Arabidopsis thaliana: one gene and its partner. The protein of the gene in region 1 purifies or fractionates together with the protein of each later gene. This does not show direct contact. Each region holds a gene or a part of one and is shown on either strand. Other genes may lie near its edges.

Evidence for each region. The genes of interacting proteins can lie anywhere in the genome.
Region 2: the proteins of Cpn60beta2 (region 1) and PAF1 fractionate together in Arabidopsis thaliana (co-fractionation; one large-scale study listed by BioGRID). This does not show direct contact.

The regions. Positions count from the first base shown.
Region 1 is NC_003074.8:4,387,265-4,393,552, reverse strand, and holds Cpn60beta2 (TCP-1/cpn60 chaperonin family protein), read right to left. Parts: upstream 4,339-6,288; 5' UTR 4,189-4,338; intron 3,885-4,188; 5' UTR 3,869-3,884; coding exon 3,665-3,868; intron 3,583-3,664; coding exon 3,457-3,582; intron 3,373-3,456; coding exon 3,235-3,372; intron 3,154-3,234; coding exon 3,058-3,153; intron 2,967-3,057; coding exon 2,724-2,966; intron 2,651-2,723; coding exon 2,416-2,650; intron 2,299-2,415; coding exon 2,129-2,298; intron 2,037-2,128; coding exon 1,959-2,036; intron 1,868-1,958; coding exon 1,796-1,867; intron 1,712-1,795; coding exon 1,607-1,711; intron 1,526-1,606; coding exon 1,433-1,525; intron 1,350-1,432; coding exon 1,257-1,349; intron 1,166-1,256; coding exon 1,042-1,165; intron 943-1,041; coding exon 929-942; 3' UTR 538-928; downstream 1-537. Other genes in the region: AT3G13480 (nuclear polyadenylated RNA-binding protein), read left to right, coding at 1-165, 312-369; ECT2 (evolutionarily conserved C-terminal region 2), read left to right, coding at 5,333-5,360, 5,642-5,718, 5,809-5,956, 6,052-6,122, 6,205-6,288.
Region 2 is NC_003076.8:17,158,543-17,163,003, forward strand, and holds PAF1 (proteasome alpha subunit F1), read right to left. Parts: upstream 2,615-4,461; 5' UTR 2,434-2,614; coding exon 2,083-2,433; intron 1,214-2,082; coding exon 728-1,213; 3' UTR 502-727; downstream 1-501.

The sequences.
Region 1 (6,288 bases):
AAAAAAGGAAGAAGAAGAAAGTCTTAGTAATGGGGAAATCTTGAAAAGCAGTCTCAAGAAGGAGGTCTTAGATTCAGCAGATGGTGGGAGAAAGGAGAAGAAGAAAGTACAGTGGGTGGATTTGATGGGGAAAGAACTTGCTGAGATCCGAGAATTCGAGTCTAGGTACTGTCTTCTATGAAGTTTGAATCTTTGTTTTTCTTAGGTTTCTTGGTATGAAGTTTGAATCTTTGATCAATTCAGGCTTCAAAAGATGCTAACTTTGAGAATTAGTTGATTGACATTTGTCTGAATCCCTGTTATATTTGCAGTGAAGAAGAAGATGTTAGATATGATGGCGATCAAAGCTGTGTTTGTGTTATTCTGTGATCAACTCGGCTTAGTTTTACCGGAAGATATGGCAATGGTGAAGGGTGAAGAAGCTTGCTTGAGAATTGGCTCTGTTCAGCTTGTGGCTTTGGATTTAGAATCCATCTACATTGAGGTACATATAGTAGAATCCACTTTTGCTCACCTGAGGTTATATGTCGATTGTCGATTCAGTGTTTACGGTTTTAGAGTTGTTAAAAGAATTGCTTTATATTACACTTGTTTACTTAACCAGTTAATGAAGTTCTTTCTTAGTCAGATTCAAGAAGCTTTTAAATTTAAAGTACACTTTTTGCATTCTATCTAAGTTCCCTCAGCTTTAGCATGTATATAAGATGGTGTTATTAAGAGCACTCAAGATTTTGAAGATCACTGACAAGTTATTCAAAATGATTTCAAATATGATATCTAGTGAACACATTATTCTCTGGTTCAAAAATCACTACACTTGCACAGAAAATTTGTTTGCAAGCTAAAGGAATCCGTATCCCAGTGAGCTACTCTCGCTTCGGAATTTTGCCTATCTCTCAGCTTTACGAGCAAACCTGGTCGGTCTATCTTAGTATCCATAACCTGAAACAAGACAATCGAGAAAGATTCAGTGATGAAGAAACATGAGTTTTGTTTTGATGTCACTGTCCAGTTTTTATGAATCAGAAGGTCTGGACTAACCTGAGTTGTCCATTGGGTTACCAGCAGGAACTGGCTCTGGCTCTGGGATCTCAACAACCACACAGTCAGACATCAAGAACGTCTTTGCAACTGAGGCGGCATGTTCTAAGCAACATCTCACAACCTGAAAACAAAAATCCACTCAGGTTCATTGGATATTTTGCGATCAGATGGGATAGCAAAACAGAGTGAGGGAGTGTATGTGAGAAACTGACCTTTGTCGGGTCGATGATGCCTGCAGCCATCAGGTCTTCATACTTGCCGGTTGCAGCATTGTATCCAAATTTCACATTATCGTTAGCCAGCACCTGCAATAAATAAATACAGCTTTTTAAGCAACTTACGTAGATCAAGAGCTGAATAAGCATGGATGTTCTTATGTTGTTATAACCTTCTCGCTGACAACACTTCCATTAACACCAGCATTCTTAGCTATCAATTTCAGAGGGTAACTCAGTGCTCTTTTAACAATTTCCGCTCCAACCTAGAGATGGGAAATAGTTGAAAATGCAGTAAGAGCAAGCAATTTGCAAAAAATTTCAAAATTCTTGATTTTGCCAATCACCTTTTCTTCATCATTTTCAAGGGTATCCTTGATGGCATCGACCTTTGATGCAAGCCGGAGCAGAGTGCAACCACCACCAACGACAATACCTTCCTCAACAGCAGCCTGAAACTCAATGAGGTCATATAATTAAGATATACATGAGTAGCACGATACCTATAACCCCATCAGCTGGATAAAGAAAATCACCTTTGTAGCATTAAGAGCATCTTCCACTCTCAGCTTCTTTTCTTTGAGCTCTGTCTCAGTTTGAGCTCCAACCTTTAACCAAGATGTAAAAACTTTAATTAGATCACTTAACTTATTCTTCTATCATACAAATCCAAGAAAGTCCATGTGATTACTATTTTACCTGAATTACAGCAACTCCACCAGAGAGCTTCGCAATTCTCTCATTTAATTTTTCCTTCTCGTAGTCTTGCTCCGCTTGCTGCACAACCGCAGTTGTATTAGCATAAACAAACTTTATACAAAAAAAAGTAGCTGTCACAGACTCTTATGCGGTTTGACTCAAACATATACCTCAATAAGATTCCTAATCTGTACAACACGCTTGTTCACTGCTTCTTGTGTGGTCCCATCACCCACAATTGTTGTCATTTCCTTTGTCAGGACAACCTTGGAAGCGTTACCCAGAACCTCTTTTCCAGCTTTGTCAAGAGAAAGACCAACTTCCTCTCTGATCACAGTTGCTGCACACAAAAACAGAAGCAACACGGTAAGGTTTTAACAGCCAAATGATTCCAAATCAGGAGGGCACATTGATTGATACCCACATATAGGTTTTTTGTTATAAAAACATGACCTACCTCCAGTTAGAATGGCAATATCGTCAAGGTATTGGCTCTTGCGCTCTCCAAATCCAGGAGCTTTGAGAGCTGCAATCTTCAGTGTGCCTCTAAGCTTGTTAACAACAAGAGTAGCTAAGGCTTCTTGTTCAATATCTTCTGCAATTATGAGGATTGGGTATCCGCCTCTAATCGCATCCTCTAGAACCCCAACAAGATCCCTTGCATTGGTTACTTTCTTGTCAACAAGAAGCAACTGCACAGTAGAAACTTGTTAGGCTATTTGCATCACAATATCATTTTGGTAGCTCAGAATAAAGAAAAATTACCTTGCAATTGTCATACTCAACAGACATTTTCTCACTGTCTGTCACAAAGTATGGGGAGATATAACCACGGTCAAATTGCATTCCTTCCACAACATAAAGGTTGTTCTCAGCGCTTTTTCCCTCCTCCAGGGTCACCACACCCTTCCTGCCCACTTTGCTCATTGCTTCAGCAATCATACTTCCAACTTCGTGGTTATTACCCGCACTAACAGCTGCCACATCAGCAAGTTCACTGTCTTCAACCTATATTTCCAATGACATAACCTTTAGACCATCTTGCTATAGACTCTCGAAAAATTAAGAAGAAGGAAGTTTTAGCATAATAGTTACTTACCTCCTTAGACATAAGTTTCAGCTCGTTAACCAAAGCCTTTGCAGTCTTCTCAATCCCCCTAGTGATCAATACAGGGTTCGCACCTGCAGCCACCACCTGAAAAATACAAAATTTCAGATTAATATACTGTTCTTCTGAGTATAAAATCAGAGAAAGCTGAAAGAAGAATGTAACAACCTTGACACCCTCAGCAATAAAACCTTGTGCAAGAACAACAGATGTTGTTGTACCGTCACCAGCCAAGTCATTGGTCTTTGCAGCTGCTTGCCTTACAAGCTTTGCACCAATGTTCTCAACCGGGTCCTCCAACTCGACCTAAGCAGAAGAAAACCTTAAGCTTAGAGAAGTAATTAAAAACGAAAGGAACATAATTGGTTAAACAGACAATAAATTTCATACCTCCCTCGCAACAGTGACACCATCATTAACAATTCTTGGGGATCCATACTTGCTCTCAAGAACAACATTTCTCCCTTTTGGTCCAAGTGTGACACCAACAAGGTCCGCGAGCTTGTTAACACCAGTCTAATAACAAACGAGTAATCAGAAACCAAAAATAAAACGAATCCTAATCATTACTCCAGAAAATCAATTCATTAATTCTCACCTGAAGTTTCCTTATGGTAGTCCCATCCTTATTGAAATGCAACTCCTTGGCTGCACATACTATGGCAGGACGGGATCTTCTGACGCACACGTTATGTCTCCTTCCAAACGAGCTTGAAGAGATGCTAGTCGCAGAAGACAACTTGATAGCATTGGGAGCAAGCAACGAACCAAGGGAAGACGTGGCAGTGAATGTCGATGCCATTTTCACTTCTCAAACACTGAAAATCAATCCAACAGTTCACATAAAACGAAAGATTCACCAAAAGTACTAACCAATTAAAACTGGCAACAAAAAACAAAAAACAGATGAATTTCAAAATCAGAGCTCAATCCCCAAATACTCAAAACCACAACTACACCAATAGCCACAAATCTCCGGGAACACGAAAACAAGGTAACATACTTTTTCTCAGCTACTAGTAATACTTGTTAATTCCAATTCTAACAAAACAATCAATCGACACACACAATTACATAGGCGCCAACATTGTGAGCTCAATTGATGGGAAAAGTGACACTCACCGGACGGTGGAACGACGGAGGTGAGGAGAGAGATGGCGCCGAAGAGGTTTATTCCGGATAAGGAGGAAGAAGTAGGTTTCTCCAATGACGAAATGAAGAATGCACTTGCTACTGATAATTTTTTCTTTGAATATAAAGGCGATATGAGCCTTTAGCTCTTGAAACTTCGAGCTAATCTTAGCCGTTGGATGTACTCTTCATTGTTTTCTCATTAGAACTCTCTAGAACGTCGGATGGGTAATCGGATCATGGGTTTATTTCCGGTGGCCTTGTTTGGTGATTTGGGCCTGTTTATGAATCTTTAATCAAATAGGCCCATTACATACTCTCGATCTTAAAATGTTTTTATTTAATAATAGCTTTTTTAAGCTAAGGTAATTTACTTCCTTTTATCCTAAAGGTAAAGTATATTTTCTTGAATAGCTAGTTTTGGTAAGTTTCTCTGAAAAATAGATTTTACTTTCTTTGGTTTTATCTTAATGATTTGCTTTTAGTTTTTAAATAGTTGCTCAAAACAAAAAAGTTTAATATATATTTTTAAAGATATTTCAATGTATATTGGGGTAAATTTATAGAAGAAACACACCTATAATAGAAAGCATGCCCTCTTTTGCTTTTAAATTTGACCAAATTTACTTTTGAATTATATTTTGGTAACAGAATTGAGATTTATATCTATTTTATTACAAGATTACCAATTTTAAGAAAATGGAAAAGTATATTATCCAGATTTTGCAGGAAAAATAACCAAAACCACACGGTCTATAGTCTTCTTTTAAAACAAAAGAGGAAATATCTTAAGGTGGAAGAAAAAAAAAAAAAAAGAAAGAAAAAAAAAAGAGAGAAGGTGAGGTGGTTGATTAGTGGATCTATTTGAATCAGAGGGAGAGGTAGAGAGACAAAACCCTTTTTTTCCTCTTCCCCGAAGCAAAACCCTTCTCCTTCTTGGCGGCTGCGGCCATTTTTTTCTTCTTTCTCTCTTCTATTCTATCTCTTAAACCCTAGATTTGATCTGGGTTTTTCCTGATTCCATTTAGGGTTTCTCTATCTTCTTTTTTTTCTTCTTCTTCTTCTTTCTCTTTGGTCGCATCCCCTTTTATCCGAGAAGGATCTATCCAAATCTTTGTTTGTCGAATCTCCTCTCATGGCTACCGTTGCTCCTCCTGCTGATCGTATCCTTTCTTTATGTTTCTCGATCTGTGTTTTGATTTCTCGATCTTGAATCTGTTGGATCTTGAATCCAGTGAGCTGATTTTGAGTCTTGTTCAGATATATTTGATATTGCCTAGATTCAGTTTCGGGTTTCTCAATATATTTCTCGATTGTTAGGTTTCTATATTGATTCAAATCGATTCATTTGTGGCGAGTTTGATTGATTTGAGAATGTTTGCTTTCCACTATTCTAATGGTTAATTGTGTAATTCTTTGCTTCCTTGACTCACCTTGTTTGTAGAAGCTACAGATCTGTTGCAGAAACTATCCTTGGACTCGCCAGCAAAAGCTTCAGAGATCCCTGAGCCTAACAAGAAGGTGATTTGCAGATTGAATTTTGGTTTTCTGTTGTCACAACTTTTGCTTCTTCCAGTTTTTTTTAACGCTTTTGTTTTGTGTCTTGTGTAGACTGCCGTCTACCAGTATGGAGGCGTTGATGTTCATGGTCAAGTTCCTTCTTATGATCGATCTTTGACACCAATGCTTCCCAGTGATGCTGCTGACCCTTCAGTTTGCTATGTTCCTAATCCTTACAATCCCTACCAGTATTACAATGGTAGCTTCATCCTCAAATCATTTACAATCTAGAAACATTATTTCACTAAATTGTCACCACTGGTTTAACAAGTTTTTCGTTTTGTAACTTTTCAGTATATGGGAGTGGTCAAGAGTGGACTGACTACCCAGCTTACACAAATCCTGAGGGTGTTGACATGAATTCTGTAAGTGTGTGCTGACTAGTTATAATAGTGCCTTTCATCGTCTTTATATTTTCTTTGCTTAACAGGTTCAATATTTTACCAGGGAATTTATGGAGAGAATGGGACTGTTGTGTATCCTCAGGGTTATGGGTATGCAGCGTATCCTTACTCGCCAGCAACTAGCCCT
Region 2 (4,461 bases), on another chromosome or scaffold:
TTAAACGATTTGACGTAGTTTCGTATGTTTAATTCACAATGTCTTTTGACACCGAAAACATGACTGTTCGTTGTTAATTCAATTTTATATGATCCACTAGCTCTTAGATGCAATGATAAACTCTTGATCATTTTTTTTTCCTTTGATGGTTAATTTGGTGTATATACGAGAACGGATGCTGGATAAAGCAAATGATTAAGAGAGACGGCAAAGTCAATGGGTCTGGTTTACATGGTTCCCATTATCCAAAGTCTTTCGTAGTCGTCACCATGTAGGGGGCCACTTATGTTTTCTATTAGACTAAATGACGTCGAGCTAATGATTTTATCATAATTTACGATTTAACATTAAATTCTGGAGTTCTTTGGGTTAACAAATTTTAGATTAACCTTCGAAGGAAACTTGAGGCTGGTCAATTTTTTTGTTAAAACCCTCTGCAGGGCAGGCCTAACAAGGCTGGCTTGGCCTGCTTGACAGCCCTAGTTAGATGACACTACACACTTTTTTAGCAAGGAATTGCAGAACCAAAGAGATAGGAAGTCGTGAACAGATTTCAGATTTAAACCAAAAGACCAGAATACGAGAAAGTCTTGATGGCAGCTATTGAGTTTAAATGACGAAATGGTTTCAACTTCTCAAGCATATAATCTAAACCCGCAGCCATTTTGCAAAGTAAAAATCCAACTAACATCGAAATAAAATAGTTCCAGCGTTACACACACAAGCCTTACATTTCCATTGGAGCCACGTCTTGGTCACCTGCAACACCACCACCTCGTTCTGCTGGTGCAGCCTCGGCAGCTTCGGCCTCACCCTCACCAGCCTCGCCTTCTCCTTCCTCTTCCTCTGGCACTTTCTCAAATGTGTCGATCACTTTCTGTATTGCTTCCTGGTCCAGGAAGTGGAACGGTTCATCGACTCCTAGAATAGCGACTGTGCAGAGAGAACTCTTCAGTGTTTCCCCTTGCAATGTCTCCCTAACAGCCAAAATAGCATCTTTGATCAGATCTTCTCTAGAAGAATCCCCAAAGCTCTCAAACCTGCGTTCCAGATAGGTCTTTGCTGCTTGGGAACGGGATCCAATAGCAAAAGCTTGGTACTCGAAGTAGTTTCCGCTGGGACAGTTGTAGTAAAGGTGGGCTCCAGACTCATCCAATCCACCTACCAGCAAACCAACACCATAGGGTCGTTTCCATGATCGTTGGGTACAGACCTGTTCATAAAGGCAAACATACACATAAATATTTCCTTTTCCAGATCAAGAAATATAACAAAAAAAACCCTTGGTAAAGACAAGAAATATGACAATAATGTAACTTAAGTTGGACCTGTCAAGTAAAATCTCTCCTACAAAAGAGTAAACCAACTAATAAAGTTTGACAATGAGGAAATACAAGACCCTTCCTTTTATAAACACATATAATATATGGGAGCTCTTCCCAATGGCTTTGAAAAGTATTTATGCAGATGTGGATAAAACAGCTAACTTAAGAAACCATTAGATAGGTGGAAAAACAAAGTGAGAAGTAGCACATAATTACAGAAAAGATGTCGAACAAGCACCTAGCAGGAGTAATTGACTGGTAAGATAAGTGCATAGTGGTGAGAACGATGCAAAACAAAGAGCGGAATTCACTTCTTAGAGGTACTGAAAATCAATAACTCCAAATAAAAACTGCAGAAACAAGCAAAAGCACCAGAAGAAACACAAATCTCTTTCTTTTAGAATCCTATTGTTAAGCTCTTAGTTATGGTTAAACTTTTAAATACAAGATTATGCAGCAGTAACAACAAACATGCAAACAATTTCACTAAACAAGATTCAAGTTTCTGCTATGATAAATTAAGAAAACTCTTATTTAATGCAATTTAGAATCCTAATCAGCTCAGATCAAACCCTAAGCACAAAGTCAAGAAGCTAATGGCTAAATTTGAGCTCAGTGATTCACAGTGTAATCGAATTCCAAATTCCTCAAATTTCAATTAACAATTACAACACACTTATCACCGAATCACACAAAACCAAGCGTAATCGATTCCAAATTCCACCAAATCTCAATCAACAAACTACAAAAGCCTAACCTGAGCTTTATCAGCAAGATGAACAACGAGACGACCAACAGGAAGAGGAGACTCATAAGTAAAAGAGTGATTAATCGATTCCGATCTCATATACCGAGACAATACACGACCGTCGGCTGTGAGACCAGCGATTGCAACACCGATATGGTCATCGACTTTAAAGATCTTCCTCTGATGCGAAGAAAGCTCCGATTGAGCTTTGTTAACACAAGCGAGAACGACATGAGAACGAGATCTGAGTCCAATTGCTGCAGATCCTTGCTTCACTGCTTCCATGGCGTATTCCACTTGGAATAAACGACCTGTTGGACTCCATGTCGTAACATCTGTGTCGTATTGGTTTCTGAACATCTTTGCTTCTTCGTCTCGCTTTCTTCTTCACTCGTCGTCGAAAGGGTTTATAGAGACGAAAGTTCAGAAACAAAACTTTTCTTTTCCTTCAAGCCATGGATGCTCTCGATCTCTCTCTCGATTTAATGGGCTTCTATTAAATTCTGGGCTTTGTATTGGCTCGGTATCTAGCTTATTGGGCTAAGACTTTAGGCATATGTTTTATACAGACTTTAGGCCTATGTTTTTATACAGGATAATCCTTGTATATTCTTTTTTTTTTTTTTGATGAAATGTGAAATTGTTTAAGAATCTTTAAATATGTACAAAAGAGTTTGGTCAATAGTTCTCAGTAAAAAAAAAAACATTAGACAAAACAGAGCACACTAGCTTGAATATTCTTGTATATTATTTGAAACTAAATAAAAATGAATTAATTTTATAAATATAAAACTTTGCGATTTTGTTATTAGTAATCATATAATTTGAATTGTTACAAAAAAAAAGTCTCTGTGATTGATCCTATTTAAAATTTTAGAACATTTATCATTTTTAAAATTGATATCTTAAAATTAATTTATTGTATATTTCTAAACTTTTATGACAGCTGAAAAGTCATACATTTTTAGTTTTGACGAATATAGTGATGAAGTAGATCATAACATGTGCTTGTACAACACTAATAGAATTTTGATTTTTAAATATTTATTTAAATTTGAATTATTATTTGTTTTATAATATAGTTTTAATCATTTTATACATAATATAGAAGTGGATTGGTAACGATTGTTATTTTCGACTATTATTATCAACTGTATGATAATTAATCGTTGAGTCTTTAAGAATATCGCGAAAGTTCATATTGTCTCATACAAGAAGATTAACAAAAGCATATTCAGTTTAGCTCAAGTTCCTTAAACTGGAATCACAGATGACTAGGGGATTGAATTTTGTAGCATCGATAAAAACTTAACTACTCAGATTTTTGTTGTAGCCACAAAATCAATCACCCAATGAGATCAAGTTCCTTTACCTCCACAAACAAAGCTCTACAACTAAGCTTTTGTATTGTTATAACGTAGTTTCTAGTCTATGTATGTTAGATCAAGTAAATAAATTCAGCACTTTTGTGGTTTTATCTCCCTAAGATCAGTTACTAGTTCATGACGCTAACTAGCTACATGCAATAAGAACAAACCTAGAACGAAAAACTTCTAAAAACAAGCTATTTTAAAATCGTCACTTACCTTATTCAATTATGAAATCTCCTTTGATGAAACTTTTAAACCCAACTAACAAACTAGTAATAATAATAAAAAATTAATTTAACTATTAAATCTAATTTGCCACTAAAAGAAAATTATGTATCGGTTTGAGTTTATTAGAAAAAATGAGAGTTTAGATTTTATGATTAAACGAGGTTAAATATCGGTTTGGGTTTACAAAATACGATTAGGGTTTAGATTTTATGATTATACGATGTTAAATATTAGTTTGGGCTTATAAACATATTTAGATTTTACAATTAAACTAGGTTAAATGTCGGTTTGGGTTTAGAAAATACGATTATGGTTTGTTTTTTAACGATTAAATAAGTCTAAATGGCGGTTTGGGTTTATAAAGGAGAATTAGGGCTTAGATTTGGTAATTAAACGAGATTATATATCGGTTTGGATTTACAAAAAAGTGGGGTTTTAATGATTTATTTTAATTATTTTATTTTGATAATATTAATTGTTTTAAGTTTTTTTAATCAAATAACATGGCAAATATTGATTTGTTATTAAAGAGGGGGTGAATAAATTAGGTTCACCCCCTAGAAGTGAACCCAAGAATTATTCTTTATTTGATATTTGATGATTTGTTTTCAAAATTTTAATTTATTTATTATATAGATTAGTTAAAGTTAGCATATACTATGATTTATAACGTTTTTATATGTTTTCACTTATAATTACTTTCTAGATTTGTTTTCAATTTTGTAAGTTTTCCTGATTCAAGCATCTAATGACAAAAAAAGCATCTAATTAATTACTAACTGATCTTTTT